Linked DNA regions of Cricetulus griseus. The protein of the gene in region 3 interacts with the protein of the main gene of each other region in a pairwise test. Links are inferred from orthologs where the notes say so. Each region holds a gene or a part of one and is shown on either strand. Other genes may lie near its edges.

What was found. The genes of interacting proteins can lie anywhere in the genome.
Region 1: the proteins of Rnf41 (region 3) and Homer2 interact in binary tests that used the Homo sapiens proteins (3 or more experiments, as listed by UniProt). The link is inferred for Cricetulus griseus from reciprocal best matches to the Homo sapiens genes RNF41 and HOMER2.
Region 2: the proteins of Rnf41 (region 3) and CUNH1orf109 interact in binary tests that used the Homo sapiens proteins (3 or more experiments, as listed by UniProt). The two-hybrid records come from large-scale screens. The link is inferred for Cricetulus griseus from reciprocal best matches to the Homo sapiens genes RNF41 and AIRIM.
Region 4: the proteins of Rnf41 (region 3) and ankyrin repeat and SOCS box protein 6 interact in binary tests that used the Homo sapiens proteins (3 or more experiments, as listed by UniProt). The link is inferred for Cricetulus griseus from reciprocal best matches to the Homo sapiens genes RNF41 and ASB6.

The regions. Positions count from the first base shown.
Region 1 is NC_048596.1:115,890,283-115,896,296, forward strand, and holds the start of Homer2 (homer protein homolog 2), read left to right. Parts: upstream 1-2,717; 5' UTR 2,718-2,747; coding exon 2,748-2,849; intron 2,850-6,014. UniProt on the Homo sapiens protein: Postsynaptic density scaffolding protein. Binds and cross-links cytoplasmic regions of GRM1, GRM5, ITPR1, DNM3, RYR1, RYR2, SHANK1 and SHANK3.
Region 2 is NC_048595.1:28,116,555-28,122,406, reverse strand, and holds the start of CUNH1orf109 (uncharacterized protein C1orf109 homolog), read left to right. Parts: upstream 1-2,555; 5' UTR 2,556-2,901; intron 2,902-4,345; exon of another isoform or gene 4,346-4,348; coding exon 4,349-4,623; intron 4,624-5,852. Other genes in the region: Cdca8 (borealin), read right to left, coding at 1,866-1,994, 2,104-2,197. UniProt on the Homo sapiens protein: Part of the 55LCC heterohexameric ATPase complex which is chromatin-associated and promotes replisome proteostasis to maintain replication fork progression and genome stability.
Region 3 is NW_023276806.1:129,470,436-129,476,177, reverse strand, and holds the start of Rnf41 (E3 ubiquitin-protein ligase NRDP1), read left to right. Parts: upstream 1-2,018; 5' UTR 2,019-2,282; intron 2,283-5,742. UniProt on the Homo sapiens protein: Acts as E3 ubiquitin-protein ligase and regulates the degradation of target proteins. Polyubiquitinates MYD88. Negatively regulates MYD88-dependent production of pro-inflammatory cytokines.
Region 4 is NC_048599.1:142,506,617-142,512,579, reverse strand, and holds the start of ankyrin repeat and SOCS box protein 6, read left to right. Parts: upstream 1-2,666; 5' UTR 2,667-2,779; coding exon 2,780-2,892; intron 2,893-3,876; coding exon 3,877-4,052; intron 4,053-5,134; coding exon 5,135-5,241; intron 5,242-5,339; coding exon 5,340-5,448; intron 5,449-5,794; coding exon 5,795-5,881; intron 5,882-5,963. UniProt on the Homo sapiens protein: Probable substrate-recognition component of a SCF-like ECS (Elongin-Cullin-SOCS-box protein) E3 ubiquitin-protein ligase complex which mediates the ubiquitination and subsequent proteasomal degradation of target proteins.

The sequences.
Region 1 (6,014 bases), on a different chromosome or scaffold from region 3:
ACACACCCTGTCACCTGGACACCCACTGACTAGGGACAGCTCAAGGCTGTACACAGAACTGAGTCCTGCAGAAAGGCTGCTCCTGGTAGAGAAACCAGTGGAGATCTTGACGCTCACATTGCTTAAGTGACAGAGGGGGAGACTTGAATAACCCCAAACAACCAACACGGCCAATTTCCCCTTCACAATTAGCTAGTGGGAGGGTGGCACAGGTGTATAATCCCAGCACTTGGTAGACAGAGAGAGGCAGAGTCATCAGGAGTTGAAGGTCATGCCTAGCTACATAGCAAGTCTGAAGCCAGTATAAGAGGACAGCCAAGTTGGGAAGATGAGGATTTAATAGTCTACAAAAGCAAGCTGAAAACTTCTCACAGATGGTACTGATTCTCCACAGTCCTTGAGGGCAGAGGAGATCAAGATCTGCCCATCTCTCTGTTGAACTCCTTCAAGAGCCTGCCCTAAGGCTGGAGAGATGGCTCAGTGGTTAAAGGCACTGGATGCTCTCCCAGAGGACCCAGGTTCAATTCTTAGCATGCACATGGTAGCTCAAAACCATCTGTAATCCCAGTTCCGGGGGTCCAGCAAACTCTCTGACAAGAACCAGGCATGCCCATGATGCACAAACATACATGTAGGCAAAAAAAAATAAAATAAAATAAAGAGCCTGCCCTGAGTTCAGGAGTGAACCAAAGGTAGACTGAGTCTCTGGGAGCTGAAATCCAACCTGACCCAGTACAGCCCTAAGATGAGGGGATTTCCTGTCTGCCTAGTTCACCTAGCAGAGAAAGGGAGCTTCCTTGGGCAGATGGTCACATTCTATGCAGTCTTTGCAATTTCAGCATGAGATTTAAGAAAAAAAAAAATGACTAGACCTGCAAAAAGGTGGGACCATATGCCTGGAGTCGGGAGGGGAGATCCAGATAATGATAGATTCAGAGATGGCCCAGGTGTTGGCGTTTGCATCAAGGACTTTAAAATAAACACATCAATGTATTGAGAAAGTAAAGGGGAAATGGACAAAACAAGCAAAGGGAAGAATACCTCAGGGATTTCGAATATTGATTGACTGATTTTGATTGAGACAGGGTCTCATTTAGTAGATTCTAACTGGCCTGGAACTCACTTTGTAGATCAGACTAGCCACAAACTCACAGAGATCTTCCTGCCTCTGCTCCCAGGTACTGGAATTAAAGGTGTATGCCACCATGTCTAGTCTTGGAGTGCATTTTTAAAATATGAGATATGCTAGATTTTAAAAATAACAGAGGCAGGAATGGTGGTGAGTCTCAGAACTGGGGAGACTGAAAAAGGAGAAGCTACAGAGCAAAACCAGGTAACTAATTAAAACTCCTTCCTTCTTTGTTCACTCCCCCACTCCCCACACACAAGGCACTGAGTGGATAATGTAACAGCAGATAGACTGTATTAACCAGCCACATCAGTGAAGTAGAAAACAGATCAATTAAAAATGCCCAGATTGGGGCCTGGAGAAACGGTTTAGTGTTAGGAACATCTTCCCTTCCTCCAGGCCTGCTTCCAATGCCCAGCAGCCATAATGTGTGTGGCTCATAACCACTGTTCTCCAGCTTCAGGGCACCCAACACCGCGGGCACCTACACTCACAGGCACACCCTTTCCCCCAACAGTATACATAATGAAAAATAAAAAGTAAATCTTTAAAAAAAAAGTCCATTAACCACTACTTTGAGAGCAGTACATTCCCAGTCATCTACACTTGCTATCATGACCTTGGACAAGCCACTTGACTTTGTTGAACCTCAGTGTCTCCTTCTTTAAAGATAAGTTTAGATGAGATATCTTATGAAAAATTGCTTAGAAATTGTTTTGTTTTAAAGACCTATCTTAGTGTGACCAACTCTGGGAAAGCCTGTTAGGATCAAGACTTGGACCTGTGTGTTACACTCCAGTTAACTTTTATCTACTGGCATTCAAGGAACCCCTAAGGATATGGATATGACTGACCCAGGAGCCATCTGATACGTGCTGCATTCATTCATTCATTTCATTCATTCATTCATTCATTCATTCACTCACATTGGACATACACTTCACGGCGGCGATTCTGTTAACCAGAAATACAAAGTAGAAACATATGCTCCACATGACCCTCTCTCTCTCCCAGGGTTTGTGGTCTCTCTGCTTCTTTTCTCATTTGAGGTCAAGGGAGGTAACGGCCCAGCATCAGGCTCCTGTGCCAACCCCTCCGGTCTCCCTGCTCTCACCAGTATGACTAGTCTATTTATTAATTAGCCCTCTACCTACTCCCCAGGTCAGAATCTCCTCCTTCCCCTCGGAAGCAAAGGCCCCACTGCTGGTGGAAGTATTAACTGGTTTGGCTAGATTTCAAATGGGAGGTGGGTATGGTGGGGAGAGGGCAGTTCCCCTGGGAATGTACACATGGCTAGTCTTTAAAGAAACTTTGGTACTTGGTATCTTCGGGGCAATAAAATATCAGTTTTGGAAACCATTCTTAGGAGAGAGGTTTTCCTATCAGTAATGTGAAAGATTCCATCTTAGACTCTTCTGTTGTCAAGTGTCTGAAATTACCTTTTGTCGTGGTTGTGTGTCTGCCCTGGTCAGAACAGCCCAGGAGCAAACCCAACAGGACAGAGGAAGTGCCCTGTCTCCACCGGCTGTGTCTGGAGAAACGGTCCACTGTAGAGTTAATGCTGTCTCCCTTGGGTTGTCTCCCGCAGGTGATTATAAACAGCACCATCACCCCGAACATGACTTTCACCAAAACCTCACAGAAGTTCGGCCAGTGGGCTGACAGCAGAGCCAACACAGTGTTCGGCTTGGGGTTCTCTTCAGAGCAGCAACTCACAAAGGTATGTGCCCTCCTGGCATTACAACAAAGGCATGTGCCCTCCCGGCAGTGTAAGGAGAGTGGTTGGATGCCCTCTCTCCCTTAGCTGCTCTCTGTGGCGCTGTGTTGGAGGAGGTGCCCTCTCTCAAACAGCAGACTTCTTGAAAACTGAGTGGTCTATGGCGGAAAGGAAGTTCATCTCCAACAAATGCTGTTCCCTTGGAAGCTCGAGTAGCCCGACTGGCCTGGTGGTATTTTGGGCATCCATTAGACCCCTTATTATTTCCTGAGGCTGAAAAACTTCCTTATCAGAGTCCAGAAACACAGGGCAAGAAGCAGAAGTGTTGAGGTCAGGTATAGTTAAGATATGAAATGTGTCATCCCTGGTTTCATGCTGTTTGGGAATACTGTGGAATCTTCAGGATGTGAGACCTTGGTGAAGGAAATGTGTCTCTAGGAGCCAGCCTTGAGATTTTATAGGTTGGCCTCACTTCCTGTCCACTCTTGGTGTGGCCAGATTTTTCCTTCCCAGCCAAGATGATCCACACCCCTTTTTAAGTTATGACCTCTTCCTCCCTTACACTGTTTCTTGTTGGGTGTTTGGTCACAGCAATGAAAAGGGTAACTGAGTTACTAGGACACTGACTAGGATGGGACTCTCCTCCGCCCCATCCCACTCTGCTGGACTTGGGGACTGTGACTCTGGAAGGTGGGATACTCCAGTAGGGATAAGCACAGTGCCAGCAGAACTCTGCTTGATAAAGCATCCTGGCCACCAGACTCCTGCTTCTCTGCATCTGAGAAGCTGCCATCTCCACAGACTCCCGAGGTCTGCAGCAGCAGCATGTGGTACAAAAGGTACAAGATGAAGGTGTGAGGAGCAGGGCTGGCCGAAGCATGGCTGTCTCAGAAGTATGATCCCTAGTGAAGTAGGGGCCCAGTGTGGCCAGCTTCTCCAGGAGCGTGTGCTTCAGATGCTCACTGCTGCACCATGAATAGCTGGATGCTCTGTGGGGTCAGAGGTCAGGGTGACTATGGAGAGCAGGAATGTGTCTTGAGTAGGCCATGTGACACCTTTTCCTCTGGCACTATGACCAGGTCTTTTGATCCTGAGGAGGTTGTACCTGGGCACCCGCAGAGCCCTTACATGACTTGAAAGATGCTCTTCTGAAGAGTAGGGATTCTTAAGGGGCGGCCACATGGAAATATGACTGTTTTTAGGCTCTGGTTACACTTGAGTCCGGTGACATTGCTAGCCCCAAGTCTGTCACTAGTTAGTGACAAAATTGCCCAACTCCGTTTCTTCCCTTCCCATATACCTCTGACCTCTTGACCATTTTCCAGGGTCCAGTGTAGATCTGAAGCTGGGCCACTTTCCTGGTGTCCTTGGCTCAGTAGGGTGTTCTAAGGCATGCCCCCAGGGGTGTCATGTTGTCATTCCAGCAGCAGGAAGAAGCAGTCATAGCTCCAGCACTGGCACTTTAATATGTGCTACAGAGGGAAGCTGCAGGCACCTCACCAAGTCTTCTCTGACATGACTGCTACAAGTCAGCTTTTGGCTGGTTTTGTAGGGCATGCTGGGATTTCTGGATTTTATTTTGTGACCATAGAAGGATTTAAACCCAAAAAGTCAAGTGATCAGATTTGCATTTCAGATATTCTTCAAGTGAGTCGGATTCATTTCAGGGTACAGCTGATGAAGAGTTGAGTAAGAGGTGGGGAATTTTAAATAATTTTTTTTTAATTGGCAGACCTTGGTCAGACAGGAGGGAGGCTGAGACTCTGGGATGATGATGGATGGAAGACAGCAACACCCTCTTCTACAGTGGGGAGTGGGACAGGTGTGGTGTGATGCTGCCTGAGAGTGAGTGGTCAGGACCTCTATCTGAAATGGAGCAGGGATTCGTGTGGTTTCCAACCCACAGAGCTGCCTGGTGGGGAGAGGAGATGCCAGGATCCCCCTTATCTTACCCAGCACTCACCCCCATAACTTCCTGATACCTTCGAGCCTCAGGCTGTGGGGAAGCATCCAGTTGTATCTCAGCACATACCTCTGCTTCTGTCTATGGCCAGAAGTTTCTGGAGCCTGGGATAGTCTGAAAGAACCATTCATAGCTTCCTGGTCCAGTGTCTTTCATTCTGTAGAGGAGACAAGGTAGTGAGGACAGATAGAGGGGAAAACACCCGTGGAAAAGGATCAAAAGGAAAACTACAAACAAAAAGTAGGACAGAGGAGAGTTCGGTTCTTCCTGCCTTGGAGAATTGAAGAGACCTTGACTGTGCTACTTCCAGTTCCTCCCAGACGAAGAGAATAACCTATTATTAAGGAGGAGTGTCCCGTCTTCCTGAATCACTTGGTCTCTGGCAGCACTGGCCTCTCTGCTCTGTGACTGTGACCCGCCATCATCACAGAGACTTCTGAAACAAGCTCTCAAATATGTCCTTTGTCCAAAATATTTCAAATCAGCATTTCCTTTCTCTTTGAAGGGGCCGATTAACCACACACTGATAAATTGCCCCGAATAGAGGCTAGCAGCCAGGACAAGTGGCAATTAGGTAGCACAGAGGGAACCTGGGCCTGAGGGGTTCCTGAGGCTTGCATGCTGGAGGGCAGCTGTGACTGAATATTCCTGGCTTCTCAGCACAGCCACCCACAGACCTACAGGGGGATCGGTAATCAGGCCTTGTGGGCAGGACAAAGAAACACCAGTGTGGACATTTTCACTGAAGAGTGCTTTATATGAACTTCTCTCTCCAACCCCCAGAAAGAAAATAGATACCTTGTTCTTAGCTCTCACGTAGAAGGACTGCTCAGCAGCCACAGCCCAGGAAGTATCGCACAGAATCTTTCTGCTCTTTAGACAGGCTTTCCAAAAATAATAAAACTGTATATTCCTGGAATGGAATTGGGGTCTGTGTGTCCACTGGAGAAGACACGATAACTCACTCAGCCTACTGAGGAATGTTGGAACGGAGCGTACATTCTCTGCTAAGATGAGGTCATGGGAAGAGACAAAGGTAGAACCAGGTAGAAGAGCGAGTGAGTCCGTCATTAACATTTATTCTTTCTGACCTCTGACCTCACATGCCCACCGTTCTGGGCTTGCTTCCTTCCCATTCGTTGCAGACAGAGGAAACATGTTCTTCCATTAGGGTGAACTGCCCAAAAGAGAATTTTCACTGCTGT
Region 2 (5,852 bases), on a different chromosome or scaffold from region 3:
TAGAGGTAATATCCCTTGGTCCTGGTAAAAACCTAGCATAGTAAATGTGCAAACTAAGAAAAAGGACTTTGTTAGATCTAGATGTAGAATGAGAACTTAGGTTCCCTCCTTTTGTTAGAAATCCTCATGGAATCCTGTGTACACAGTTAAGATCTTGGGCCTTATAAACAGAATGCCTGGGGCTCAAATATGAGATCCCGAGTAATGTATCTCTCTCTGTCATAATCTTATCATTCTAAAATTGGTCCACTGTCTGGCATGGAAGCACAAACCTTTAATCCCAGAACTCGGGAGGCAGAGGCAGGTGGATCTCAAGACACTTTATCTAAGTAGAGGTCCAGGACAGCCAGGGCCACAAAGGAACCCTGTCTCAAGAACAAAAACAAAACTGGCCTACTATTATGATTAAGTTGTACTTACTGGCTATTACTTCCATCTTTTTTGTAGTATTTAAAATTCTAATTCTGCCAGGTTGTGGTGGTGCTTGCCTTTAATCCCAGCATTCGGGAGGCAGAGGCAAGCAGATCTCTTTGTGTTCAAGGCCAGCCTGGTCTACAGAGTGAGTTCTGTAGTTCTGGGACAGGCTTCAAATCTACACAGAGAAACTCTGTTCTCAAAGACCAAGAAAAAAAATTCTACTGCTATATGATTTTTTTCCCAAGACAGGGTTTCTCTGTGTAGACTTGGCTGTCCTGGAGCTTAATTTAGACCAGGTGTGTGCCACTATCACTCAGCTTCTATGTGAATTTTTAAACGACCCTTCTCCAATAACCTATAAGCTTCTAGTGTGGGAACAATATATGTTTTATCCCTTACTGCATCTTTAGTACCTAGCATAGGGACTGACACTCAACTTTGTAGAAATGAACACATGGATTAATGAGGCATGTCAGAAGAATCACAGCTCTTGTGAGCAAAACATGTACTTCCACCCAGGAAGACACACACCCTGGTAGCTATCAATGATGAGGAAAATGGAGAAAGCACCAGCCACCTAGTGGATGGGAGAGGAAGAAGCCCCCATGTTGTACCGGATGTCTAACAAGTGGTGGGAAATGGGTTGGGATTTTCCTCTGGTCAGAAAAATACTCCTGTCTTTGCAGTTCACATGTGACTTGCTTGCTTTTAAATTGGCAATTTCCATAAGAAAGAGCTATTTGAGGATACTGTTCTACTTGAGCTATGACAAAGCCCAATCATTTTATTCTTAATTTATTCATTTTCAAAAGTTTGAGTATACACAAGTATTTCCTGATGTGTGAAAACTGTGTGAAATTGACATTTCAGTGTGCCCAGAAATAAATTTCATCAGTTCCAGAAATCTAAAACATTTGTTACCTAAGCGTTTGCCTACCCCATGGGCTGGATGACAGTCCCAGGTAAGACTGGGCAGTAGGGTGGATTCAGACCACAGACCCCTCTCTTCCTCCTCTAAATAGGGATATACCTCCCCAACTCTCTCCTTGGACAGAGACATGACAAGAAAGAGAGAGTGATGTGCTGTGGCCTTGCAATTCTGTCCCTCCTCTGTAAAGCTGCAGGACAACTTTATATTCATTCCTAGCTCCTGTGTCCTTGCTTATTAGCACATAGGCTAGCATAACTCACCTCTCTCTCTCTCTCTCTCTCTCTCTCTCTCTCTCTCTCTCTCTCTCTCTCTCTCTCTCTCTCTGTCCTACTAACGCTCATCTGAGGGGTAATTCATGCCAGCTTCCTTTCTACGGGCCTGTCATTCTTCCACAAGTTACGACAAGCGGCAATTCCCCACGAGTGGTTATGCTAGTCCTCATTAAGATCGAGTCCCTACAAAAGCTTTTAAGATAAGCACTAGTCGGCTACCAGGAAAAACCGCTAGCGGCTCTTACCAAAGTAGTCAAGCCAATTCATCTCGCGCAGCGCCTTGGGGAGCCGAAGGATCTCGATGTTGTATAGGTTCTCCACCTCCTTGAGGAGGTTCTGTCTGTCGGACTCGATTTGATTGATTCGAATTTGCACTGCGGAGAGATCAAAGCCGACGGATCCAGTGTCAACAAGAGGGCGAAGCCATCGCACCCGCGCCCCAACCCGCCCGAAATTCTCGAAGGCCGCGGATCCGCCCCTTACCCTCGCGGTCGAAGTCCTTAAGGAAGGAGGCGAGCTTGCGGCTCCGCAGCGCGTTAGCTCTGGCGCCCCGGCTGCTGCCCTTCTTGGGAGCCATGGCGCCGGGGTGAAGGCTGCGTCGAACGAAGGACCGAGCAGCCGGCTCAGCGGCTGAGACGGGGAAAGAGGACGTGAGCGCTCACGGAGCAGCGGGGGTTCAGTCGTTGGAGTCTGGTACCCAGAAGTCTGCGGACGTGTCCCTGCAGGCGCCGAAACACAGACCCAGGAAACCTCGCAGCTCCAGCTGAGGGAGAGGTTGCGCCTCCGCTAACCGCCACCCAATTCAAACTCAACGGATACAGGTTGGCCAATAACAAGTCGCCGTCTTGGGACGGTTCTCTCACCGCCCAATCACAACAAAGCTTCTTCATCCCGCAACCAATCTCTATAGAGGACTTCAATGCCCAGAGGACATTGCGGCCTACGCTTTCTTTTCGCGACTCCAGAGTCGCGCTAAGTGGAACTAGACTGTAGGGTTTGCTTTTGAGCATGTGCAGAGAGTGCCAAGCGCAGTGTGGTTCTTGGTGTCCACTTAGCTTTGGCTACCCAGGATTTGAGTTTTCCTGCGGATTTAGGGACACGGCTGGCAGTCTCAGAGGAGATAAGACCCTGGCTCCAGAAGCAGGAGTTCGAGGAGAGACAGGCCCCAGGGACTCGCAGTCTAAAGCGGAAGGTTGCCCTGTCCTTTGGAAGCCTCTTTTGAAGACTTCTAGGACCCCCTTCCTGAGGTGAGAAGCAAGGGTCCTTCTGCAGAGAGAGCTGGTAAGAGGATCGCCAGAGCCTCCACTCTTGAAAGTCAGCGGTGACAAGACAGAGCCACAGCTTCACCCTGCCACCCTCAGCAGCGTGAGGCGTTCCCCTAAGCTTTTAGAGACTGCAGCCCAGTTGGTGGCTTTGAAGCTGCAAAGAATTCAGGGCTAGCCAGTTTAAGAAGCAGAGTTATGGGTGGGAGGGGGAGCTGTGGTTGGAATGTAAAATGAAATTAAAAAGTTAAAAACATGGAAAAAAGCAAAATCACACACACACACACACACACACACACACACACACACACGAGAGTAGGAATGTAACACTGTCTGGCCTGGAACTCTCTATGTAGACCAGGTTGCCTCTATCTCAGAGACCTGTCTGTCTCTTGACTCCTCAGTGCTGGAATAAAGGTGTATGCTACCACGCCCAGCCTAAAGTTACTATTAATTTTTTGTTTGTATTTTGAGACAAGGTTTCTCTGTATTGTTTTGGAGCCTGTCCTGGAACTCGCTCTGGAGACCAGACTGGCCTCGAACTCACAGAGATCGGCCTGCCTCTGTACCCTGAGTGCTGGGATTAAAGGCGTGTGCCACCAACGCCCTGCTTTTTTTTAAAAGTTATTTTTAATACAGGCTTAAGGACGAGGCTTAAGAGAGAGGCACCTAGACAGAAAATAAAAGACACTTGCAGGCTACTCAAAAAATTAAGTATGAAATAGCGAAGTGGGTGTGGGCTTCTCAGGGAGAGGCTGCAATTGATTGTCTTAACATTAACCATGTATAACTTTGTTGACTTTCAAGATATATCTCAAGAGGGTTTCTTAAAAAAAAAAAAACGTGGGGGCTGGAGAGATGGCTCAGAGGTTAAGCGAACTGACTGTTCTTCCAGAGGTCCTGAGTTCAATTCCCAGCAACCACATGGTGGCTCACAACCATCTATAATGAGATCTGGCACCCTCTTCTAACAAGCAGGCATAAACATAATAAATAAATAAATCTAAAAAAGTCCGAAAAACAAAAAAGCAAACCAACAACTTGTTATTACCTCTCTCTCTTCTTTTTATAAGTGAAGTGGTTTCTGAATTATAATCTAATAAAGTGAAACCAGGAGCTACTTTGGTTGTCAAGGGGTAGTACTCTGCTTTCTCTGTAAATGGGATTTCTGGTGAGATTTCTACAAGATTGAAGGTTTACATCTGGGAAGGGAGGAAGGCCTTCAGCAGTTGGTAATTGGACTGCTGGGAGTATTCTCACTTCTTTGTTGACCAGAGGCATCAACCTGCTTCCAGGATGAGGAGGGCCCGTTCTTTTTCACATCCCCCAAAGTCTTCCTACCTTTCTATATTGCCTTAGGACTATTTTAAGATCAAAAGCTGGCCTCATGAGGTCAGAAATGACTCGCCCTTGAACCAGGCCCTCCCCTTCTGGTACCCTGACTCTTGGTTTTGTCTTCCCAGAAGATGGCTCAAGACCAGCCTTTGCTGGCTGTGCAAGAGGTCCTGAGGAAGTGCTTCCCTGTGGTGCAGGAGCAGCAGGACTTGTGGCAAAGCACTCTTCAGGGCTGCTCGTCCCTCCTCTCCTCTCTCAGCAACCTGGCTGAGCAGCTGCAGGCTTCACAGAATCTGAGGTTTGAGGACGTGCCGGCCCTTCGTCCCTTCCCAGACTTACAGGAGCGGCTGAGGCGCAAGCAACTGGAGGCTGGCGACATTGTCCTGGACAAGCTAGCTGAGAGGCTGTAAGAGACTCTGTGGCCCGCTTTCTTGGTAGAAAGATCTTAAAGCTTCATGACATCCCATCCCCAATCAGGGTGGGCCTACAAAAGTTACAAAAGCAAGCTGGTCATTCGGGGGAGTAAGGTTGAAGGACTGTGAGTTTGAGGCCAGCCTGGGCTATGTTATAAGACCTTGTCTCAAAAACAAACATACAAACAAAATATCAGGTCGAGTGTGGTGGCGCATGTCTTTAAACTGAGGGTAGTCAGGAGGCAGAAGCAGGCAGGACTCAGAGAAACCCTGTCTCATAAAAAAAAAAACGAATGAAAAAAATAACCCCAAACCAACTAAATAAACAAAAGTAATTACAAAAGCAGAAAAGAAGGGGACTGGAGAAAATGTAGTTTTCTGTAGTTGTCTTTAGTATGCTGTAGGGTTGGTAAGTGCTAGAAATAAGGGCTTTGTGTATGTTACCTTATACACCTCTGGCTTAACCCTGTTCATACACCTGGAAGCACAAAAACGGAAAGTCAAATAGATGTCTGATCACATAGCCAGTGAGGGATAGAGTGGGGATTCTGAAGTGTGTTTACCACATTAGCTGTGGCTTTCTACCAGGCTTTGTTCTACACATAGGTGGATACATGTGTAACTGAAACAGCCCACCAAACAGTAACACAGGTGTTGCGCTGATACTTTGTTTACTGTTTGTTTTATTACTGTTCATCACAGTCTTTAAGCTAGACTCAAAACTTGGCAGGTTTTGGATTGTTTCCTGTTTTTACACAGTTGGACATTTTAGAGCCCCAATTCGGGGCTAGGGGATTCTTTGGCCTTTGGAAAGTTACAGCCCTTGTCTTGGTTCCTTAGAGTTATAATACCTAAGCAGCCAGTGGTGCATGCCTTTAATCCCAGCACCCTGACTGAAACCCTCCTCCAAAAAAAAAAAGAAAGAAAGAAAAAGAAGAAGAATACCTAGGCACTACCAAAATCACTTTTCCTTCTTCTTCTTCTTTTTTTTTTTTAACCCCAAGACAGGGTTTCTCTGTGTATCCGTGGCTGTCCTGGAATTCGCTCTGTAGACCAGGGTGGCCTCAAACTCACAGAGATGCACCTGCTTCTGCCTCCTGAGTGCTGGGGTTAAAGGCGTGCGCCGCCACCACCATCACGGGTACAAAAGCACTTTCTACACATCATCATTATTTCTCTTTCTCATTCACTGCTACACTGACTGTGTGTGCTGTGTGTGTGC
Region 3 (5,742 bases):
AGCCTTGGAGCCTCTGCCCCCATGCTCCCCGCTTGGCCTACCCACCACACCAGGCGGCGGCGGGGGGGGGATCCGGCAGCCTTGGTCCCTCTCTAACCCTTCTAGGAGGTTAGAAACGAACTTCCCTGGGGGCCTCGTACTTCACGATCAGAATTTAGAGATCTCTGGATAAGATGCTGAGGGGCTGCGAGGCCCCTCGGTCAGGATGCTCTCGGTCTCACGCTCCGAAGCAGGGAGGCTCAAGGAGACTCTTAGGGAACCCGGAGCAGCGCCAGGGGAGAGAATCCTACTCGGCGGATCTTCCTGCACCCTCATCCCCACACCCAGAGCTCGCCCGGTCCCCTCCCCCATTCACAGCCCACCACCCACCCAGCCAGCAGGCGGGACTGTGCACACCGCCAAGCCACCCGCAGGGGGAGCCAGGGGGCTGGCTGCCGCCGGATGCTGCGGAGTGGAACGCGGGAGCGCACACATTCCCGGAAGTGTCCCCTGACCTTCCCTAGCCAATGGGAGCTGATCTGCCCTCCAAAAACCCCGCCTCCAGCCGCCGCCCACCCAATCAGGCGCCGGTATTCACGCGCCACGAACGGGGAGGTTTTAGGAATTAAAGGAGCCTCGACGAAGATGAGTTCCGCGCGGGAGAAGATGGACCGACCGCCAGGGGGCGCCTCAGTTCGGCTCAGAAAAAGGCGCTCCAGGCTCGCAAGATTGTGGGTTTTTTTTTTTTTTTTTTTTTCCTTTTCAAGTAGTGGCACAATGGAAAAAGGTCCAAGGGCTTAGGAATGCAGCGGGCAGAAGTTTGAATGCCAGCCCCTCTCTTCGCTTCTTTGCTCGGCTATTCTTAAACATATAAATTCCGTTTTATACATGAAAATGTAGAGTTAGGTAAAAAGCGATGCCTAGGATATGGCATTAACTTAGACATAGGGGCCTTCATCTTTAATACACTGAACAGTTCTGCCCAGGCCTCTGGATCAAGTGGCATTTATGCTTTAGAAAAGACATTAGGCAGATTCAGCCTCCTTTGGAAGAAATGGAATCCGGGACATAAAAAGCAAGTCTTTTCGCAGGGCATGTCCGGTTCCTATTTTCTTTTCTCACTGGATCTTAAAACACCCAGCACCTTTAGTGCCCTCGGGGTACTTGTCAGTCCTCAAAGGCAACTACCTCTTACAAACAAACGAGTTACAAATGCACTAATGTGAATTTTTTAAAAAGACAACATAACAAATACTGTTTGGCACCAGGTTAGCCTAAGGGGTAAATGTAATCTCGTTTCTTGCCTTGCTCGATCCCTTACCTATATAGCAGAGCGCTTTAAGCTCCACGGTGACTTCCAAGTCCAGGTTCTCTCCCACCCACACCCCCCAATCGCGCAGCTGCAACCTCAGGAAACCAAACCCTTCACAGTGTTTCAGGGCACGATTGAGTTTCTCAAGAGCCATCGAATGTGGCCGGGAGGCGGGCGACCCTTACAACACCCTGGGTCAGAGCTTTGCGGTGTGACCCTGCCTCCCTGCCTCCCTCCCTCCCCCCCTCCCCACCCCGCAGCCTTCCGAGTTAACCGCTGTGTCCCTTCCCATGACACGAGGCCGGGAGGCTCCGCGATGCTGACCACAGCAGCTCTGGAAACTGAGGGGCAGGGAGGACAGCAGCAGGTTACGCTGCAGCAGCAGCAGCAGCAGCAGTAGCAGACCGGTTGTCCCGAGGCCATCTCGCCCCGACGTTGCATCAGCTGCAGCGCCCGCCCGAGACCTGCGTTATCGCACACGAAGTGACATGGCCGGGCAGTACATCCACGGTCGCCCCAGATCGTTACACCTGGAGAGCATAGAGTCCTCCCTCCCAAATGGCTATCAAATCCCGCCGGGGGTCCGTTTCTAACAACTTCCGGGCAAGAGCGGAGGTCTAGCGAACCGGGGCCGCTCGCTTGGAGCGTCCGGTCGTCGCCGCCGAGTTAAACAAAGGGGCGGGGTTTGGTGACGGACTTCCGCCCCGTTGCGTAGCAGCGGTGGGCGTGGCAAAAGGGTCAGTCCGAGACGAGCAGGAGTGGTTGGAACCTTCTTCCCCATCCTTTCCTTCCCCTTCCCCTTCCCCTACGGGGAGAGGCTGAGAGCCGGCACCCAGGCCACTCCGCGGCCGCCGTGGCCTCAGCTGCAGCCCGGCCCCGCGTCCGGAGAACCCACTCAGTGTCCAGGGCGGTGCGTAACGCTCCTGAACGAGCTTCTCACCCGGGAGGGGAGGGGAGCGAAGCGGAGCGGAGCGGAGGGGGCGAGGTCCCGGTGGGTAGGCGCCTGGGTCGGAGGTGCTGGGGGTCGAGAGGAAGGGTGGAGGGGGGGAGGAGGATGGAGGAAGGGAGCTCTGCTGGGAGGAGTCGGGAGGCGAGCTGGGGGCTCAGGAGCTTGGGAAGGTCCTCTGGAGCAGGGAAGCCTTGGGAAGTGCGGGAGTGGCCTTGGGCTGGCCCGAGGACCGGGGAGGAGCAGACGGCTCGGCCTAGGGGACAACGTGGAGTTTAAATGGCAATGATTGACGGGCCTGGAGGCGAGGAGGGGAACGTTCTGGGGGCCAGCCTTGGCAGGAGCCACGGAACCCAAACCTCCGCCCTCCAAGCGCCATAGCTTGGCTTCTTTCCCATGCCTTGTCTTTGGCAGCCTTGTCTTTCTCTTTTATTCCTTCGCCGCTCCTCTCCCCTCCCACCCCTCCGTGGAGGACTCTTACATTCCTGACATCCTTGCCCCTGGATGATTTGCAGCCCCGCTCCCTCGCACGCACGATCCATCCACTCGCTTTATACGAAGCCCACCCCAGCCCAAGGAGGCAGAACAGTTGGTGGGTAGAGAGTAGGAACAGGAGAGAGCCGAAAGCGAGCAGGATTGAGCATGTTTGGGATCGGCACACACTTTTCCTTTAAAAAACTAGCTTCATCTCAACTGGTAGCAATTGTGGCGGTTACCAAGGCCACTGTTCTCAGAGACTGACCTGTGAGAATCTTGGCAGGTACTTCTTATACAATAGTGTTAGCTAATTACAGTGTTGCTGGCTGCTAGTATTTCCCTAAGAAGGAATGGGATTGGATAGTGGTAAGGGAAGGAGAGGGGTACATTAATGTTGATACTCTGTCACCAGTAGACCCTGTGACAGGGCCTGCTTCCCAGTAGTTGAAAAGGGGGAACAAGCAATTCCAAACATTTCCTCTGGTCCTCATTGTGAATTTATTGTGCCATTCTGTTGCTACAACTAATAGCAGTCTGGAATCTCCTTTCCTATTTATTTTGTCGTTTGATTTGCTGTATGTAAGATAGGGCAAATGTCATCGTCTGTTTGACAGTTGGAGAAACTGGTTGCAATGCCTTATTTGAAGTTGGTGGGTGGCAGAGCTAGGACTGGAATAACCCAAGACACCTCTCTCTCTCTCCTGCTTCTTTGCTTGGTCAATAACCCTTTATCTATTTTTTTAGATTAACCCCTATTAATTTGCCCATCACGGGAAGCTTTTTGATTTCTGGGTCTGGGTCTTGACCCTAGGAGACCGAGCATTGCCTATAGAACCTCTTCCTGGAAGCATTTTTTGAGATACAGGTGTGTGCCAGCTTGTTGGGAAATGGGGAGGAGAAGAACATCAACTCCACCACTCCTCTTCTGGACTGTGAAGAAGGGAAAGTGCCAGGTTTTACATCATCTCTCCTTCTGAGAGGACATGTGAACATGTAGTTGATGATGAGCACGGTGAACTAATGAACAAAGTACCATATTCTGGAGAATTTGTATTCTTTGTAAAAATCACCATTATTTTATCCCAACATAGCCCTTGAAAAAAAAAAATATATATATATGATACAGGAGTTTGATTAGTAGGAGTTTGGTTAACATTCCTGTACCTCTTTGAATCAAATTCTCAGGGCACTGGAAACTTGGACTTGGTTCTATCTCGGTAGGCATGCATCTAGTCAGCCCAGTTTAACTGCTATATCTGAACAAGTTGCCCACCCTGGAGCAACATCTCTACTTTTCCCTCCTTACCAATGATTTGAGGAAGGGTCTCATCCTGTAGTCCCTGCTGACCTTGAATTTGCAGTGATCCTCCTGTCTCAGCCTCCCAGGTGTTGGGATTACAGACTCCACCATGCCTGACCTTGTTTTTTTGTATCACCCGTTGCCTCAGGCCCCACTCCTCTTCCCTCCTTTTTCAAAGCCCGATTTCCTTCCAGAGTATTTCTCATTTTGCACCTATAGCAGCATTCTTGGGTGTCTATGTGTAAAGTAATGTTTTCCACGTGGAAGGCAGTACCTGGATTTTTTTGTTTTGTTTTGTTTTTTTTGTTTTTCAAGAAAGGGTTTCTCTGTGTAGCCCTGGCTCTCCTGGAACTCTGTAGACGAGGCTGGTCTTGAACTCACAGAGATCCGCCTGCCTCTGTCTCCCGAGTGCTGGGATTAAAGGCGTGCGCTACCACTGTCCAGCTTATACAGTGTTTTTTGTTTGTTTTGGTTTTTCGAGACAGGGTTTCTCTGGAGCTTATCCTGACACTCCATATGGAGACCAGGCTGGCCTCAAACTCACAGAGATCCACCTGCCTCTGCCTCCCGAGTGCTGGGATTAAAGGCATGCGCCACCAGTGTCCGGCCCGAACTTTTTAATTTTTTTGAGACAGGGTCTCATATAGGCCAGGCTAGCCTTGAATTCCTGATCCTCCTTCCTTCAATCCCAGGTGCTAGTATTGCAGGTGTCCATCAGCTTTCCCACTGTTTGCCTGATTTTAAGTATTATTTCAGACTGGGTCTGAACACAATTTAGAAATAGACTTCTTGATTTATTGAGACAGGAGGGTCTCTGTGTAGTCCAGCTGGCTTGAAACTCACTGTCTTCTGAGTTTTTCAAGTCTTGGCATTACAGGCATGCACCATCATGTCCAACTCAGGTTTCTTGTTTTTGTTTTCCTGTGGTACTAAGGATTGGGTCCCTGTGACCTGTAAATGCTGGGTATTGTAAATCTCTACTATTGAGCAGCATCTACAGCCCAGATTTTTTTGTTTTTGTTTGAGACAAGGTTTGGCCATGTAGCCTAGGTTGGTTTAAAACTTGCTATATAGCCAGAGCTGGCCTCGAACTCAAGAGTTCTCCTATTTTGCTTACTGAGTGTAGGGATTACAGGCATGAGCCTACCACCATCCATGGCCTCCAGAATTATTTTGACTGGAAATAATGTAAGTGAAAGCCCTTTGGAAACATTAAAGGCTAGTATAGGGGAAATATAGATTCACATATTGTATAGCCACCAATTTGGAGTTTTTGACATTACTTGTTATATGTGCTGAATAAAGAAGTATATACACAGGGGCTGGAGAGATGACTCCATGGTTAAGAGCACTGGTTACTCTTTTTAGAGAACCAGGGTTCAGGTCCAAACACCCAAATGGCAGCTCACAACTGTCTATAACTCCAGTACCAGGGGATCAACTTCAGGCACCAGGCACAGGTGTGGTACACAGACATATATGCAGGCAGTACACCCATATATAAGAAATGAGATAAAAATAATTTTGTAAAATTAATGTGTGTCTATACGTGTAGGTGGACTTTTCTTTCCTGCAAGCCAGTTCCCAAATAAGCACACAGAGACTTATATTAATTATAAATGCTCTGCCGTGGCTTAGGCTTGTTTTAGCTCTTTTAATTTAAATTAACCCATTTCTGTTAATCTATGTGCTGCCCCAAGGCTCATTTACTCATCTACATGCTTCCCA
Region 4 (5,963 bases), on a different chromosome or scaffold from region 3:
CACACACACACACACACATACTGATTTTTAGATATTAAAAAATTGGTTTTTAGACAGTCTTGTTTGTTTGTTCTGGCTGGCCTGGAACTTGATATGTAGACCAGGATGGCCTTGAAGTCATAGAGAAGGTCCACTTGTCTCTGCCTCCTGAATGTTGAGATTAAAGGTGTGGTGGTCGCTGTTGTCACTATTGATGGACAGACAGAGAGGCTGGCCATCTCTTCCTGTGCTTGCCATTCACAAATGGGTGTCCTGTGTCTATACCCTGTGAGCAATTTTTACTCTTTTATTGATTTTGAAAGTTCTTTATATGTTAAGGTTACCTCTGAACATTATTCAGAGTAACCCATAGATCCCATGAGGGAGTAGGCACAGACTTTTCCAGGGTCTGAGCATTGTGTGTTTGTCCCTCATTGGGTTGAGTAGTTCTGGAGTTCGGTGGCAGGATGGGGCTTGTCTGCTCAGGCAGAGAGGGAGGGCAGTGGTGAGGAAAAGACAGAAGGGTCAGAGCTGAAAGTAGGAGCTATGAGTGACAGCCTTAATGGAAGGCAGATGGAGGAAACAGGATTGCCCTCGCTGAAAGGAAGGGTCAAGGGGCACAGGGCTTTCTAAAGACAGGAGCCTGGGGGACTGGCTGGTGGTGGAGCCTGGCTCCACTGTGTGATGCCTATGGGCTGTGAAAGGGCAAAGGTCAGTTTTCCTCCATCCTGCAAGTCTAGACCCTCTTAGGGCTCAGTGATAGAGAAGCTGAAGGGACTCTGAGCCACTGAAGGACAGTGTGTAGAGAGGCCCCACAGACACGGGAGAGTCTCTACCCAGCTGTGTTTCACTGAGCAATCTCTGGAGCCTCTCTGAGCCGGATTCCTTGCTCGTGAAAAGAATAGTGTTATTTATCTAATAGGATTTAGCAGAATCAGTTTGTAGAGTGTTTAGCCCAGCGCTAGGACCCAGGGACGCTTTCATAAAAGCAGGGCGTGCATTTGCATTTACACACGCATGTGTCCACACATTCCACAGTGTGTGCAGAGGTCAAGGACAACCTGTAGGAGTCTGTTCTCTCCTTCTGCCATGAGGGTCCCAGAGATTGAATTCAGGTCATGCGGCTTGGTGGCAAGCCTCCACTCTCTGAGTCATTTCACTGGCCCTGCTCTTGTTGTTACTCTGCCCCTCTGTCTGCCACTGGTGACATCAAGATGCCTTTCATTGGATCTAGGACTTTGAGAGCCCGGTGAATGATCAAGTTGTAGGTGAAGACACTGAGGCTAGGACCAGAAGGAACACATCTGGGCTCACCCGTTACAGAGGGTTTATAAAATGTTCTCTGAGTTCCACTGGTGCTCCTGGGGACCTTCAAAGTGACCTTATTTAGAAGAAGGGTCTTGAAGATCTCATAAGGGTAAACTGAAGCCACTCTGCATCAGGGAAGTCCCTATATCTAAGGGCTGGAGACACTGGGGAAGGAAGGGGTGCTTGGAACAAAGGCATAGTCCTGAAGCAGGAAGCCACGATGTCCAGTCTACATGGGCTGGGTGCCCCAGGCTCCATGCATGTCACCCAAGCAGCCTATGAACTGAGCTACATCCCCAGCCCCCAGACACACTTTGTTTTTTGTTTTCCATGTGTATGAATGTTTTGCCTGCGTGTATGTCTGCGCACCACTTTTGTGCCTGGTGGCCACAGAGTCCAGAAGATGGCATCAGATCCTCTGGGACTAGAGCAACAGATAGATGGCTCTAAGCCACCACACGCATCCATAACTGCTGAGTCATCTCTCCAACCCCTGGTACAGGTTTTTTGTTTGTTTGTTTTGGCCGTTATTCCTAGAAAAACCCAGTAAACAATTACTGACCTGGCATTTACACTGTTGGGTGCAGTTCGAGAGTTCAAGGGCAGCCTGGGCTACATGAGCTCCTGTTTTAAAACAAATAAGAAACTTTGTTTCCAGCCAGTCAACTCTTCCCCAGTGTCAGATGGCAGGTGCCAAGCAGAGAGACCACAAACCCTGAATACAAGGTTGGAGCACTGATACCGCCCCATAACTAGCCATCTAGAATCATCAGGGCCTTGATGCAGGAGTCAAAGTTGCAGTCTCTGAAATTCCTATAGGGTAGAAGCTGTCCGGTCCTGCTACAGTCCCTTCCTACTTTGTCTCTGCTCTTGCTTCCCAGCTCAGGGTCTAGGATTCAGGCAGGTGAGATTATACCCGTTTTACAGACCAGGACATGAAGGTTCCTTGACTCCTTCCAGCGAGAAGTGGGGAAAGTGGGCAGCCTGTTTGGCCAGGAGTCAAGGGACAGAGAATAAAGAATTGTCCCAGTGTCTGTGGGGAAGAGTTGGGTGCAGTGTCCTCATTGTGCCACGCAGCCTGCATGCAGCATGGAGACTGAGGTGGTTGCAGCTCTTCCTTAGGGAGTGGCTGCAGGGAGCAGTGTTCAGGCCCAGAACAGGGTCTGCATCACCTCTGGAGGGAGGCCGGCATTAGCCGGGCCGTGAGCCCAAGCGGAGCTGGGACGCCCTCTAGCAGCTAGCTCCGCGGGGGATGGTAGGGAGAGGAGGAGCCGGGGCAGTGAGGAGTGCCGTGAGGTCCTCCTGGGCCGCAGGGGGCACTGTGGCCGAACTTGAGCCCTCACACCGGCCAGCGAGAACCGGAAGTGGGTGTGGTAGAGTCACTTCCTGTGCGGAACCGCGGCCTGGGCGGAGGACTGGTCACTGGCGCTGGGTCTGAACCGGTAGATCGGGAGGAGGCGGCGTGTGGGCGTCGGGACGCACGGCCGTCGCCATGCCGTTTCTGCACGGCTTTCGCAGGATCATCTTCGAGTACCAGCCCCTGGTGGACGCTATCCTGGGCGCCTTGGGCATCCAGGACCTGGAGCGGCAGGAGCCCCTGGACGAGTGAGTGGCTGTGGTCCCTGTGGTTGTCGCAGCGGGAGCTGTGTGGCTCCGAGCGCGAGCTCCAGCCCGAGGCGAGCTCGCAGCGTCTTGCAGGGCAGAGGACCTGGGCTTCGGCGCCGCTCCCTGTGCATGGATGCCGGGAGGAGACGAGCTGGCTGTGGCCGAGCGCACTTTCTGCAGACAGCAGGCCTCTCTCTCTCTCTGAGATTCTCTGAGGAAGGAAGCGGGTGTGGTTCTTGTGCCCTCTGCAGAGCTCCCCGGGTATTTGGAGCGCTGCGACAGGCGAGCACCCAGACCTGCTGCGCGGTGTGGAATGCATGGGGTGGAGTGGGCAGAGGTGGGGCGTTGGGACAGTCATGAGAGGAATTGCAGACACTGTCAGTCTCACCGGGGAAGTCTTTTCTAAACCACATCAGCTCTTTCCTCTGAGGCCTACTCTGTAAGGGCATTGCTAGGCTTTTCCAGAACTCCGGGGCCGGGCTAAAGGGCTGCACATCAAGGCACTGCCGTCCTCCGTAGGCGGAGCCTAACATTCCGGAGGGCTGCCCCAGATAAGCTTTTTGTGTCCGGGCGTTGGTCGAATCTTGGGGCCAACCTATTACAAGAAGTCTGGTGGATGAGATTAGGGAGAAGAGCGAGTGATGAACTTCGTGGAGAGGTGGATCTGGAGGTGTTTGGGCAGTTGTCAGAGCTGGGCAAGGTGTGGAGCAGCCCCAAGCCCAAGAAGCTCTTAGTAGGTAGTGTTGACTAGGAAGGGTGAGAGCTTTGGGGCCTCCTTCTGGGTGGTGTGAGAGCCAGCTGGACAGAGCCAGCCATTGGTAGCAAGCTGAAGGATGGCTTTGAAACCACTTCAGATATGACCAAAAAAGGCTTCTGCCCCACCGAGTATGAGCAGTTTTTGTGGTTGATTGTGGAACAACACACAGGGTAGGGCAGCTGGTCCCCAAGTGTTACCACTGCGTCTGCTTTGCCTCTGATGTGCAGTTATGCCGCCGGCGAGGAGAGCCGCATCCTGGTCCTCACTGAGCTGCTGGAGCAGAAGGCCCACTCTCCATTCTACCAGGAAGGTGTGAGCAATGCTTTGCTGAAGATGGCTGAGCTGGGGCTGACTCGGGCAGCTGCTGTCCTTCTGCAGAGTGGGGCCAACCTCAATTTTGAAGGTCAGCAGGATCCCAGAGGGTCCAGGGCTAGGCAGCTAGGCCTGGCCTCTGCTTTTCCTCTTATCTGTGGGTGACTTTCCTTATTCTTTTCCTTCGGGTGGCTTCCTCACTCCTGTGGGCTTTCCAGGTGGCTCATAGCACCTCGGCTCAGAGTGGTGTTGCTTCTAGCATGTGATTAAGTTGCCAAACTTCCCCAGCTTCCAGATTAATCCCACTTCTATTATGGTGAAACTGCACCGGCAGTGCCCAGAGCTAAGGGAAGGTAATTTCCTGTGACTCTGAGCTGTCCTGCGGGTTTTGCTTAGATCCTAGAGGTGGGAAGATAAGCCATACTAGGCATCAGTTACAGCAAGCCTCATAGGTTTCTTAAGCATCCAGGATGATGAAGGGCCAACTTTCAGTCCTGCCATTCATTGGCTGTTACCCCAGGAGATAGAAACAGGTTGGACTGCCTCTGAACTAGTATGGGGCCAGTGCTGACCCACAACAGCCTTAGTGTCTTTCATTGGAAACCAGCTCAAAACAAGCTCAGACACTGCAGGCACCTGGGAACCCTGCAAGCAGAAGGGGGCATCTATTCCAAAGCCCTTCCATGTGGTCACCTGGCCTGGAAGCAGAAGGCTCTCTCTCTTGTGTGTGTGTGGTTTTTTCGAGACAGGATTTCTCTGTGTAGTTTTGTAGACCAGGCTGGCCTCAAACTCACAGAGTTTGCCTCTGCGGAGTGCTGGGACTAAAGGTGTGCAGCATCACCGCCCAGTGGCAGAAGATCTTTAGTGATTCAGGGATAGCTGGCAAGGTCAGGGCCTGCCAGGGCATTGTAATGAGAGCCTGGCTCAAGAACAAAAAGTGGCTGCACTGCCAGGCTTGAGCACAGCAGTCTCTCTGCTTGCTCTTGGGAACAGTCCTGAGAGGAAGTGACAGAGAGGAGACTGAGGCCAACACAGATAAGTTGCATACCCATTGGAACTCACCAGGACTTTAGGCCTAGCATCTGCACACTTGAGGTAGCAGTGCTGGGGAGAGGCTCAAGGCCAGGTCCTGAACCTTTGAGAATGGACTGACCTGTACTGCTTTCTGTCCAGACCCTGTTACCTATTACACAGCCCTGCATATCGCTGTCCTGAGAAACCAGCCTGACATGGTGGAGTTGCTGGTGCGCCATGGGGCTGACATCAACCGGAGGGACCGGGTAAGAGTCAGGTTCAGTCAGCTTGGGTGTATGTGGTAGATTTACCAGCCAGCCTTTCAGGCCCCAGGCCAACATGGCTGCTATCCCTTTTGGCTCAGATCCATGAGAGCAGCCCCTTAGATCTGGCCAGCGAGGAACCTGAACGTCTGCCCTGCCTGCAGCGCCTCTTGGATCTTGGAGCAGATGTCAATGCAGCTGACAAAAATGGTAAGTGCCTCCGTGGGAGGCTGACTATGCTAGGGATATAGCCAGGTGAGCATCTGGGGGCTGGCCCCAGAGGATGACATAGCCACAGCTGGCATACAGGAGGAGGGTACCAGCCTGCCTGAATCCAGCACCCTGGAGAGTACAGTCACTGTCTCCATGCTGCCTCAGAAGGCATCAAGGAGTGAGCATACTCTGTCTATGTGTGGATGCAGACAGGTCCTGACCTTGCTGACCCTCTTGTTCCTATTGTGTGAATGAAAATCCAGTAGCTCTTCCCTCAGTCTTGAGAATCTTGCTTCCACCCATCTGTGGGCACACTGGCCTCATCCTTCCTTCTCCTTCCTAGGGAAGACAGCACTGCTGCATGCTCTGGCTAGCAGTGATGGAGTGCAGATCCACAACACAGACAACATCCGGCTCCTCCTGGAGGGAGGTGAGGGTCTACATTGTCCACAGCAGCTGCCATGCCTTCTGCTCCATCCCCCTCACCCTTGTTTGGTAAGGATTGCTGGCCG